2 linked regions of the Drosophila melanogaster genome follow. The protein of the gene in region 1 purifies or fractionates together with the protein of each later gene. This does not show direct contact. Each region holds a gene or a part of one and is shown on either strand. Other genes may lie near its edges.

What was found.
Region 2: the proteins of Mccc1 (region 1) and Mccc2 purify together in Drosophila melanogaster (affinity purification with mass spectrometry, with the first as the bait; one large-scale study listed by BioGRID). This does not show direct contact.

Annotation. Positions count from the first base shown.
Region 1 is NT_033777.3:31,790,035-31,796,140, reverse strand, and holds Mccc1 (Methylcrotonoyl-CoA carboxylase 1), read left to right. Parts: upstream 1-2,233; 5' UTR 2,234-2,522; coding exon 2,523-2,563; intron 2,564-2,670; coding exon 2,671-3,436; intron 3,437-3,490; coding exon 3,491-3,997; intron 3,998-4,056; coding exon 4,057-4,348; intron 4,349-4,403; coding exon 4,404-4,591; intron 4,592-4,655; coding exon 4,656-4,827; intron 4,828-4,884; coding exon 4,885-5,015; 3' UTR 5,016-5,549; downstream 5,550-6,106. Other genes in the region: Acf (ATP-dependent chromatin assembly factor large subunit), read right to left, coding at 1-1,159, 1,652-1,773.
Region 2 is NT_033778.4:6,744,277-6,749,489, forward strand, and holds Mccc2 (Methylcrotonoyl-CoA carboxylase 2), read left to right. Parts: upstream 1-2,104; 5' UTR 2,105-2,208; coding exon 2,209-2,334; intron 2,335-2,393; coding exon 2,394-2,647; intron 2,648-2,966; coding exon 2,967-3,847; intron 3,848-3,902; coding exon 3,903-4,378; 3' UTR 4,379-4,678; downstream 4,679-5,213. Other genes in the region: phtf, read left to right, coding at 1-263, 323-501, 562-918, 977-1,462. UniProt on the Drosophila melanogaster protein: Carboxyltransferase subunit of the 3-methylcrotonyl-CoA carboxylase, an enzyme that catalyzes the conversion of 3-methylcrotonyl-CoA to 3-methylglutaconyl-CoA, a critical step for leucine and isovaleric acid catabolism. Vital for adult survival.

The sequences.
Region 1 (6,106 bases):
AGTTTGTGCAGCCCGATCGAGGTAGGTCACTGCGCATTCCTCCTCCTCTTCTTTTTGCAGATCGAAAACAGTGCCAAGCAGAACGAGGAGGATGTCCGATAGTGGGCCCGCAATCTCACGAGCAGTCAGTGCACGTGTCATCTCGTAGAAACTGAGGTTCTGACGGAACACCTCGATGCCGGACAGCAATCCTGTGTAAGTGTGCATAAACTCGCGCATCATGAAGGCATCACCCAGGAGGTGCTCAGGCAGCAATGTGACGATCTGTCTGTAGCGGGGCAGGACTTTTTGGTCGGTTCTCTCCAGGTCGTCCGTCTTTTGAAGCAGTAAATTACATTCGTTTTCAACGCGTTCAATCAACTGTGCCTTCTTTTCCGCCTTTTGTTTTTCCAACTCAATAAGCTTGGCCTCTTTTTCTCGCTTAACCCGCTCCAATTCCTCTGCCAGAGATTTAGCATCAGACTTGGCCTTCGCCTTTGACTTTGCAGCCGTTGCTTCACCGGCGACAATATATTTGTTGAGAGTGGATTGCTTCTTGCCGTCAGGTTTTTTAATCTTAGCGGGAGAATAACGTGGCATTTTGCCAATGAAAATTGTGGAGAAGTTTACGCCAGGGTCCGTCACGTACTGCTTGTATGCCTCTGGCTTGGGTCGAAGAAGTCCATCCACCCGCGATACATTGCTCTTTATAAACATACTCAGGTTTTCCAGGTTAAACTCCATGCGCGAGCGACGTAATTGCCTAAAGGGCAGATCAAGCTCTGCACTGGGATCGCCCTTGTTTGGTCGTAGTCTGTAGACCAGGTTGTCCGTGTCCTCATAGATACCATTGAGTGGTTCCGGCATATTTTTGTCCAACTTGACACCCAACACCGTGTACGTGGCGTTCTTCTTAGCTTGCACCGACACCTCCTCGCCGATAAAGTAGCGCTTGCGCAGAAACTTGGCCACTATCATGTTCAAGGTGTTGACCGCCGACTGTTGGGCGTGCTCCACAACCAGAAGGACGGGTGCCCGAAGGCTCTGTTTGAACTGCTCCATCTTCTTGCGAGCCGCCCGCTCACTTTTGACCGCCTCCTCGTAGGTGAGGTTCTCCTTGCCGGTGGCCTCGCACTGCCACACCGTTGAGTTGATCACCATCACGTGCCGGAAGTAGTGTCTGGATAAATAAATTTAATCGATCAGCGTTTTAAGGTCAATTTATTTTGATATAATTGAAGCTTGTCAGAGTAAAACATATTTAGTATGTTTGCTATTTATTAAAATAGTTTCGCGCTACCCAGCCTCTTAAATAATTGCTGATCTTAAAAATATCTAGAAGGATCATATAAGTCGAATTGGGTCAACAAATTCCAAATTCAAGAGCGCGCGCTTTGGCACCAGGTGGCAACTCCGCGGCGAGCAGCTGTGCGGCGGCAGCTGTAATTTCTTCCCGCCACCGAACAGCGTTTTTTTCGCCTTTGGCCCACGAGACTCGCACACTTATGCACCCCTGCGAACACACACACACACACACTGAATGGTGATGTACGGTACATCGTGTGCAAATGCTTTTGCAGCGTCGCTTTTGTTGTATACTTTAGCGCAGCGTCCACCTAATGGCAGGAGAAGGGAAGGGGCAGTTGCAGGAATGGTAGCAGGATGCACTTACTCATAGTCGCGAAAAATGCGCTTAGTGATGTAGCAGCAGAAGACCTGGTCGTTGTCGTGGAATGTTTCGTTCTTGCCCTCCTTCTGATTCAGGTCGAATCCTTCCCGCTTGCAAATGGGCATGTTTGGTGTTTTCCTTTTGCTCTTGAATGTCCTTAAGTTTAAATGGCAGTCCTTCGAAGTGCACGTTTAACAGTTCACAATAAAAACAACCGCGGAGCAACTGATAAATTTTACAACGCCAAGCGACAAGCGCAAAAGGCGCCCAACTTTTCACGCCTTTCCGGAGGGGCTTTCGATGCAAACGGTTTTCCAGCGATACGCGCGTTGACTTCCGACGCAATTATACAAGCTGTCGGCGGGCGACACTTTTCCGACAATTTCTACTATGTTTGTGGCTGGCTTCCTCAACACCAACTACCTAAATCCGTTTATTTTATAGCGCACAATCTATTTTCACGCGCATATTTTGGGGCCTATCGCTCTTCGACGTTAAACTATCGGTTATCGAGTTTCTGCGAACAATGTTACCGAACTTCACGAGCGCAGAAAACCGTAAGGACGCGGTCGGATGGATGTCAACAGTTCGATAAATAGTCCAGAATAATATAACGGTAATATTTTTTATGGGTTGCAACTTAAAAAAAACACAATATACGTAATATCAATTTCCCTAAAAGATATTGATGATATATGATAATCCCCAAAAGATATATGAAACATTAATATTTTCAACCATGCATCTCGTGAGTCGCCCATCTCAATTGCGATCTTGTGCGTGTGCGTTTTTCCAGCTGTGATAAGCGACGATCGCACACTTGCTCTGAATAAAGTATATTTGTTATTTATTCTTACAATTAATTCTACTAATAATGTACGCCAGACTGCTGCGAAACTTCGGCGCAAACGCCAGGTGAGGGAAATGATCGGCAGTTCTTTGTTAAGGCCGCTAAATCAAAAGACTTAATTTCGTTCTTGACGATTACATAAACCTTGCTAATTTGTTTTGGCTTGACGCAGGTGCTTTGCAACAGAAGCCAGCCCAAAAGTTCGGCCTATCAGCAAGATCCTTATTTCAAATCGTGGTGAGATCGCATGCAGGGTGATTCGAACCGCACGCAAGCTGGGAGTTCGTACCGTGGCCGTGTTCTCGGATCCGGACGAGAAGAGCATGCACACGCAGTTGGCAGACGAGTCGTACCGCGTGGGGGAAGCTGCCTCCTCGGCTTCCTATCTTCGCGGTGAACGCATCCTGGACATAGCCAAGCGTTCGGGCGCCCAGGCCATCCACCCAGGCTACGGCTTCCTCTCCGAGTCCGTCGAGTTTGCCGAGTTGTGCCAGCGTGAGGGCATCATCTTCATGGGTCCGCCCAGTTCCGCCATCCGGGACATGGGGATTAAGAGCACCAGCAAGGCCATAATGGCCGCTGCTGGGGTGCCGATCATCAATGGATACCATGGCGATGATCAGTCAGATGAGTGTTTGCAGCGAGAAGCCGACAAAATTGGCTTTCCCTTGATGATTAAAGCCGTCCGCGGCGGCGGAGGCAAAGGCATGAGAATCGCAGAAAAACCGGACGACTTCCTCACCGCTCTGAACTCAGCTCGCACCGAGTCCGAGAAGTCGTTTGGCGACAGCTCTGTGCTTCTGGAGCGGTACGTCCGATCTCCACGCCACGTAGAGGTTCAAGTATTTGCGGATCAGTATGGTGATGCTGTCTATCTGTGGGAAAGAGATTGCTCCGTGCAAAGACGTCATCAAAAGATTATTGAAGAGGCGCCAGCTGTAAGTGCACAAGAGCTTCGGCTATTTTAAAAATAATGCTCATTTATACAACAGCCAGGTTTGTCGGAAGATTTGCGTCGTGAGCTGGGCGAGGCTGCTGTTCGTGCAGCGAAAGCTGTGGGCTACGTAGGAGCTGGCACCGTGGAGTTCATTCTAGACAAAGAAGATCTCTCTTTCCACTTCATGGAAATGAATACCCGCCTGCAGGTGGAGCATCCTATAACGGAAATGATTACGGGCACCGATTTGGTTGAATGGCAGATTCGCATTGCCGCCGGTGAGCCATTACCCCTGAAGCAATCTGAGATTACGCGGCGTGGCCACGCATTTGAAGCTCGCATTTATGCAGAAAATCCTCGCGGAGGCTTTCTGCCCGGAGCCGGACCCCTGCGATATTTGTCTACTCCCCAACCATCAAACAACGTTCGCGTGGAGACGGGTGTCCGAGAAGGAGATGAGGTGTCTGTGCACTACGACCCCATGATTGCCAAGCTAGTCGTTTGGGGCGAAAACCGCACACAAGCGCTTAACTCATTGGTTGCCCGCCTGGGTGAATATCATGTGAGAACATTAAAAATTTGTACCTTTAAGACATTTCCCTAAAGGTAAACCAATTTTAGATATCTGGTCTGGACACTAACATTAATTTCCTCATCGACCTTGCGTCGCATCCTGAGTTTCAGCTGGCCAATGTGCACACTGGCTTTATCGATGAGCAGTTCGATACTCTATTTCCGCCAATTATCATCAGTCCGCAGCAAGTCAGCCAAGCTGCTTTGGCGCTAGTCTTAAACGAGTTGCAGGCAGCCTTTAGGAACGGAAACAAAGATCAGGATCCATTTGTTGCCACCCCTAACGCTCGTCTGAATTACTCTTTGGTTCGCAGATATGACTTGAAAGCCAATGAGAAGGGTAAACCACATATATAAATTTAAAATCAAATTGGTAAGCTTATTTAATCTTTCAGTCTATTCTGTGGCTGTCAAGTTTGATGGCGAGGATATGCAAATTCAGGTGGATAATGGCGACTGGCAGGATGCAAAGGTCGAAAGAGTTCAGGATGGAAGTCGTCTAAAAATTCGTGCCAATATCAATAGCAACGTCACCACATATAATGCTAGTATTGATGGCACTAGTGTCTCTTTGTTTTCGGAAGTAAGAATCTACTTTTCAATTGATAACATTTTGTATTTTGTATTTAATTGATTCCCTTTTCCAGAGTGGCAAGGTCGATTTTGAGGTGGGACAGCCGAAATTCTTAAGTGCCCAGGGCGATCAATTGGGTGCAGTTGGGTCTCGCATAGTGGCTCCCATGCCCGGGATTTTAGAGAAGGTGCTGGTAAAGCCCGGTGACAAGGTCAAGAAGGGCGAAAACTTGGCAGTGCTTATTGGTAAAAAAAATATAAATTTAGATTATACATAGTTTTAAAAACAGTTTTGCATTTTAGCCATGAAAATGGAACACATTCTAAAAGCTCCAAAGGACGCCACCATTAAGTCTATTGGAGGAGCCGCGGGCGATAACGTTGCTAAGGGAGCGGCCGTGATTACATTCGTCGACGAGGAAGTAGAAAAGTAACGGAATATGTTTCGAAACGTACCAGAGAGTTGTTGCATTTACAAACAAAATTATATTTTAAATATTAACTAGCCTGCTTTTGGTTCAGGGATCACGAAGTGCATTTATTATCGTTAAGTAAAAAAGTGTCCATCTAATGGAATTTTCTTATCTTTAACCCATTAAACGTCTAAAACTGTTAGCCATGAATTGTTTTTGTGGGTAAGTAAGGAAGCCAAAAGTAATGGTTTTAAAAAGTGATTTATTTGTTTCATTTTCGCTGAATTTAATGGATGTAACGAACATTAATTTCCCAAATGTAATACATCTTTGTGAATACATAATTTAAAATTGAGTTCCGTACAAAATCTCGCGGCATAAAAGTTAGACTTTGAGTTGATTGCTGTCGGTAAACGGAAACGGAAATGGAAACTGAGAGAAGGCATGAATGACATTGCGCGCTTTGCTTTCTCTTCGCATTTATTTCGCAACTTAGAACATAAAAATGTAATAAATGTTTAACAAATTTCACTTAATACAAAACACTAATCATTTAAAATATATGTACTTATGACCATAATCAAGTTTTCTTTATGCTCGTGTTGCTTTAGTCCATTCTGCTCTTGAGTTTATACTGTTTTGTTTTAATTAGCATCCCATTAAATCGGTTCATGCCGTTGAAATATGATTATGGAAACAGTTTCAGAGGCGAGTACTGAGTACTAAAGATGCAATTTGGTTTCTTGCCCTAATTCTTACAATCAGCCGATTCGTTTCGATTAGTTTTTCCTAGTATCGTATCTAAGTGTCCATCATTTTGATTTTTTTCGGTTAGTATAGTAAGTGTTGCTCGGCTTCAATACGTAATACATCATTTATATACTATATAAATACAATTATATGGTACTGTAAACGTGCAACTTAACGCTTCTTATAGATTATGAGTGTGTTTCTTTCTGCCTACGTCCGTTTCTGTGTAGTGTTGTGGGAGTTAGTTTAAGGTGTTCTTTTCATTTTTTTTTTTTAGATTTATACATTAAAAGGGACACATTTACAATGAGGAGAAATAAACATATCCCTTTTAATGCTTAACAAAACAGAAAACCAAACAA
Region 2 (5,213 bases), on another chromosome or scaffold:
ATCCTCAACGAGTTGCGCCGAATCGGATGAGTGCGATGATGCCGACATTATGTCCAGTCCCGCCTCGGGCTGTAACCAAGAGTGCACCACTTCTGCCACCGACTGGCTGGGGGTGACGACAAATAGCGAAGACTGCAGTTACACCTCTGATCTGGATCACTCTGACGGGGGCTTGAAGCACACGGCCTTTAGCGACGAAGATCCTGGAGAGCTGGACATCACCCCTACCACTATACTAAATCCACATAGCAGCCTCGACCGTAGTATGTATTACCAACCAAATTTGCATCTTCGTTCACGCTATAACATTGAACTTATAAAGTTAGCTGCACCATTTGGGATCAGCGAGATGCCAAAAAGGCGCAGCTTTCCGTGCTGGAGATCGCGTCTTGCATAATCGAACGCGTGGACTCAATGGGCGAGGCCAACGACTACATCTACATAGGCGTGGTCTTCTCTTTCCTGCTCACATTGATTCCCATCTTCTGCCGTCTCTGCGAGGTATGTTGCCGGGAAGGTTTTGGTGGAGGAGACTACTTATTACTGGTCAAATGCACTCAGGTCACACTCGGGAGCGATGCAGAGAAGGCCAGTGAGATTAGCTACTTTAACATGCCGCAGCTGCTGTGGGAGAAGTCATCGGCATCGCTCTTCACCCTGCTGGGCCTTGCCTTCGGCGACAGCCAGTGGGAGCGCATGGTATTGGCTCTGGGCTTTGTCCAACGCCTTTGCCTGACCCTCATACTGTTCATAATATTCGCCGTTGCAGAGCGCACCTTCAAGCAACGCTTCCTTTACGCCAAACTCTTCTCCCACCTAACTTCATCACGTAGGGCTCGAAAGTCAAATCTTCCCCACTTCCGTTTGAACAAGGTGCGTAACATCAAGACCTGGCTGAGCGTGAGGTCGTATTTGAAGGTAAATATAAACATCCGCGTATTTCTTGATCAAAGGCACTGAGTTGCATTCCCCATAGAAACGCGGACCCCAGCGATCGGTGGATATCATCGTTTCCGCCGCCTTCATAGTAACCCTCCTGTTGCTGGCCTTCCTCAGCGTCGAGTGGCTGAAGGATTCGGCTCATCTGCACACACACCTTACCTTGGAGGCCCTAATCTGGTCCATAACAATCGGTATCTTTCTGCTGCGCTTCATGACCCTAGGTCAGAAGATACAGCACAAGTACCGCAGTGTGTCGGTGCTGATTACGGAGCAAATTAACTTGTATCTGCAGATCGAGCAGAAGCCAAAGAAAAAGGACGAGCTGATGGTGTCGAACAGCGTGCTCAAGCTGGCCGCCGATCTGCTAAAGGAACTCGAAACGCCATTCAAGCTCTCTGGCCTTAGTGCCAATCCATATCTATTCACAACCATCAAGGTGGTAATCCTGTCGGCCCTATCGGGCGTGCTTAGCGAAGTTTTAGGCTTTAAACTGAAGCTGCATAAAATCAAGATCAAGTAACCTATGCAAGGCGCAGACCCATCATATTTTTGTAGTACAACTTTTTAGAAACGCTTTAAGAGAAATCTAACACTACACTCTAAATTAGTTAAGTGAATAAATTTAAGCGAGCCAATGTTTATGCTTGTCACGTGATTGTTTAGCTACGTTAACAAGCCCACTAACGACTACGTAAACCAACAGAAATTAGTATTTACCTACTTACCTTCTAGAGCGACCTGCACAATCACAAATCATGTTTAGGCAAATTGTGCAATGCAATGAATCGCATGAAAGTTCATAGAACTTTAAGCCTAAAATCAGTGCACCTATTGTAGTTGGCTGTTCATTCTGTTACAGTCCCAAGTTAAATTCCTAAGGCGGTCTCAGCTAGTGTTGCAATTAATAAATGTTAGTAAACTATAATAAAAATCTCGTTTAAAATAATATGCTTTGTCTATCTTACTAGTATATACCAATTGGATGTTTATAGCTGTGAAAGCAACAAATTGGTTCTACCTTTTTCTTCATTGGATAGAAAGATCTGATCTAGATGTTAATCTTTAATCTTTGTTGAAAACTATATCCTTTTTTCTTTCTGTGCAACACCCGTCTGCTCTTCGTTAATCGATAGTTGGCTCAATAGCGATCGACCAGCTGTTGCTGTTATCGTTATCAGTTCGGCCACCCACAACTGACGTAACTTTCGCCTCCACTCGCGTGGTAATTTTCGCATTTAGCTCCCTTAAAATCCCACCCCCCACAAAATGATCCGGCTTAATTGGCTATTCAGGAGCTCCTCGGTGCTGCTGCGCAGCCAGGTGCGACTGCTCCATGTGGGAGATGCCAATGTTTTGCATAGCGAGGTAGACAAGCAGTCCGCCGAGTACAAGGTGCATATAAACAGGCTGTATTTATGTTTACATACCAGCTAAAGTCCAAGCTTTTTTAGGAAAATGCCAGAGAGATGGCCAGTTTGGTTGGAGATCTGCGGAACTTCACCAGCCAGGTGCTCAAGGGAGGCGGACAAAAGGCCATCGAGCGACACACATCGCGGGGTAAACTCTTAGCCAGGGAGCGCATCAACCTGCTCCTGGATAAAGGATCGCCCTTCCTAGAACTCAGTGCTTTGGCCGGACACGAGTTATATGGCGAAGAGGTGGTCAACTCCGGGGGAATCGTCACCGGAGTGGGACGCGTTTGCGGGTAGGTCTGAAAAATCCAAGTTGATCGAAGTTCCACATCAGAACTTTTAGCGCTTGCATAGCACATTCAGTCTGCAGAAGACAAGGTTACGCGTCATTAGGGTTAATTAGGTCGTAGATTATATTTAGATTATAATTATAGATCGGCATAAATAGCCGATCCGATCTAGCCGTGCCCCCAGTCTGTCTGTTCGTATAAACGTAACGATCTCCGGAACTATTCAAGATATTTTGTGAGTCTCATAGTGAAGGTGGAAAATAAATAAATTGTGTACGAAATTTTTTAAATTATCAAAAATAATATGCAATTTTCATTACAGAACTGAGTGTTTGGTGGTGGCCAACGATGCCACTGTGAAGGGTGGAAGCTACTATCCCATTACCGTTAAGAAGCATTTGCGCGCTCAGGAGATTGCCCAAGAAAACCGCTTGCCCTGCATTTACCTTGTGGACTCGGGTGGCGCCAACCTTCCGCGCCAGGCGGATGTCTTTCCAGACAAACTGCACTTCGGACGCATCTTCTACAACCAGGCAAACATGTCGGCCCAGGGAATTCCTCAGATTGCTGTAGTTATGGGCAGCTGCACGGCCGGAGGAGCTTACGTACCGGCAATGGCCGATGAGAGCATCATTGTTAAGAAGCAGGGAACTATATTTCTTGCTGGGCCGCCGCTGGTGAAGGCGGCCACTGGAGAGGAAGTGTCTGCGGAAGATTTGGGTGGAGCAGACTTGCACTGCAAGACTTCTGGGGTCACCGACCACTATGCCTTAGACGACGAACACGCCTTGTATCTGGCCCGCCAGATTGTGAGCAACTTAAACTTGTCCGCCACTAATTCGTACAACGATCAGCTGATGCACTCCAGTCAAGTCAATTTCCAGACTGCTACTCCGCCGTCTGCCGTAGAAGAACCGCGCTACGACGCGGAAGAGCTGTACGGCATCGTAGGTCCCAATCTTACCAAAAGCTTTGACGTTCGCGAGGTGATTGCGCGCATCGTCGACGGAAGTCGCTTTACGGAGTTTAAGAAGCTATATGGTGAGACTTTGGTGTGCGGATTTGCGAAGCTATATGGCCACACAGTGGGAATAGTCGGAAACAATGGAGTCCTTTTCTCGGAGAGCGCACTCAAAGGCGCCCACTTCATTCAGTTGTGCGCACAGCGCAAGATACCGCTCGTTTTCCTGCAAAATATTACTGGTAAGTTGATATGTGGAGTGGCTGGGCGATTAAATAATGATATCGATCTATGTAGGCTTCATGGTGGGGCGCGATGCCGAGGCCAATGGTATTGCCAAAAACGGAGCTAAGATGGTAACGGCCGTGGCCTGCGCTAATGTGCCCAAGTTCACGGTGATAATCGGCGGTTCCTACGGTGCGGGCAATTACGGCATGTGCGGTCGGGCCTATTCGCCTCGTTTCCTATACATGTGGCCAAATTCGCGCATCTCAGTGATGGGCGGAACTCAGGCAGCCAATGTTATGGCTCAGATCACCGAAGATCAACGCAAGCGAGCTGGCAAGGAGTTCAGCGAGGAAGAAGCCCAAAAGCTGAAGGCTCCCATTGTGGAAATGTTTGAGGCGGAGGGTTCGCCCTACTACAGTACGGCTCGTCTGTGGGACGACGGCATCATTGATCCGGCCAACACCCGTCAGATCCTGGGCCTTAGCTTGAAAGCAGCCTTGAACAACGCCGGTCAGGAGACCAAGTTTGGAGTCTTCCGCATGTAAATCCAATTTGTATGCTGGAGAAATTTAATCGGAGCGCATTTACAGGCATTTAATGCCTTTATTTCGAAACTGTTGCATTTATTAGCGTTAAGGCAATTGTTAACTGTGTAATGTACAACTGATTGTTTATTAGGAACAGGCGTGTGAAATCGTTCAAAGCTTACGAAACAACTTTTAAGTTGCTAAAATATTTTAATTCCTGTGCAATAGAACAAATGTTTATGTCAAAAAGTTACAGCTATTTAAGAAATACGGAAAACACAAAACACACACATTTAAATGTATAATGTATAACAAAACAATTTATTTTATTAGTATTAAGGGTTGTAAGAGTAAAACCAGTAAGATTGACACAGCTGGGATCAAACAAAGCCGCCTATCTAGTGCATACCACTGTTACACTTTTAGTGGTGTTCAATATAAATATTTTCTTCTGAAAATAAATACGTTTTATTGCTAAATTTCATGCTGTCGTACATTTATAATTGTATTTTTTAAAAATAACAGTCGATATCGCTATATAGTGGACCACGGACTATCGTTCATCTCTAGCGCCTATCGATAGACCTCCATGCGGACCTGCGCTGGGCGGCCGATGCATCAGTGTACATTTTACATCCCTAGCGCTCGCTCGTTTAGCAGAAGACGGTTTTTCATAGAATTAACATTTCCTTGTTTAAAGCCAGGAATCATTTAGTTCTCCGTCGCCCCGAAGGATAACGACCAACTGATTAGGTGAGTTTATCACAGGATCCCACGATTGACCGGTTGAATGTCCACTGCATCCACAGTGTGAGTGAGTCAGTGAGTGAGTCTCTCTCCGTTTACATATATG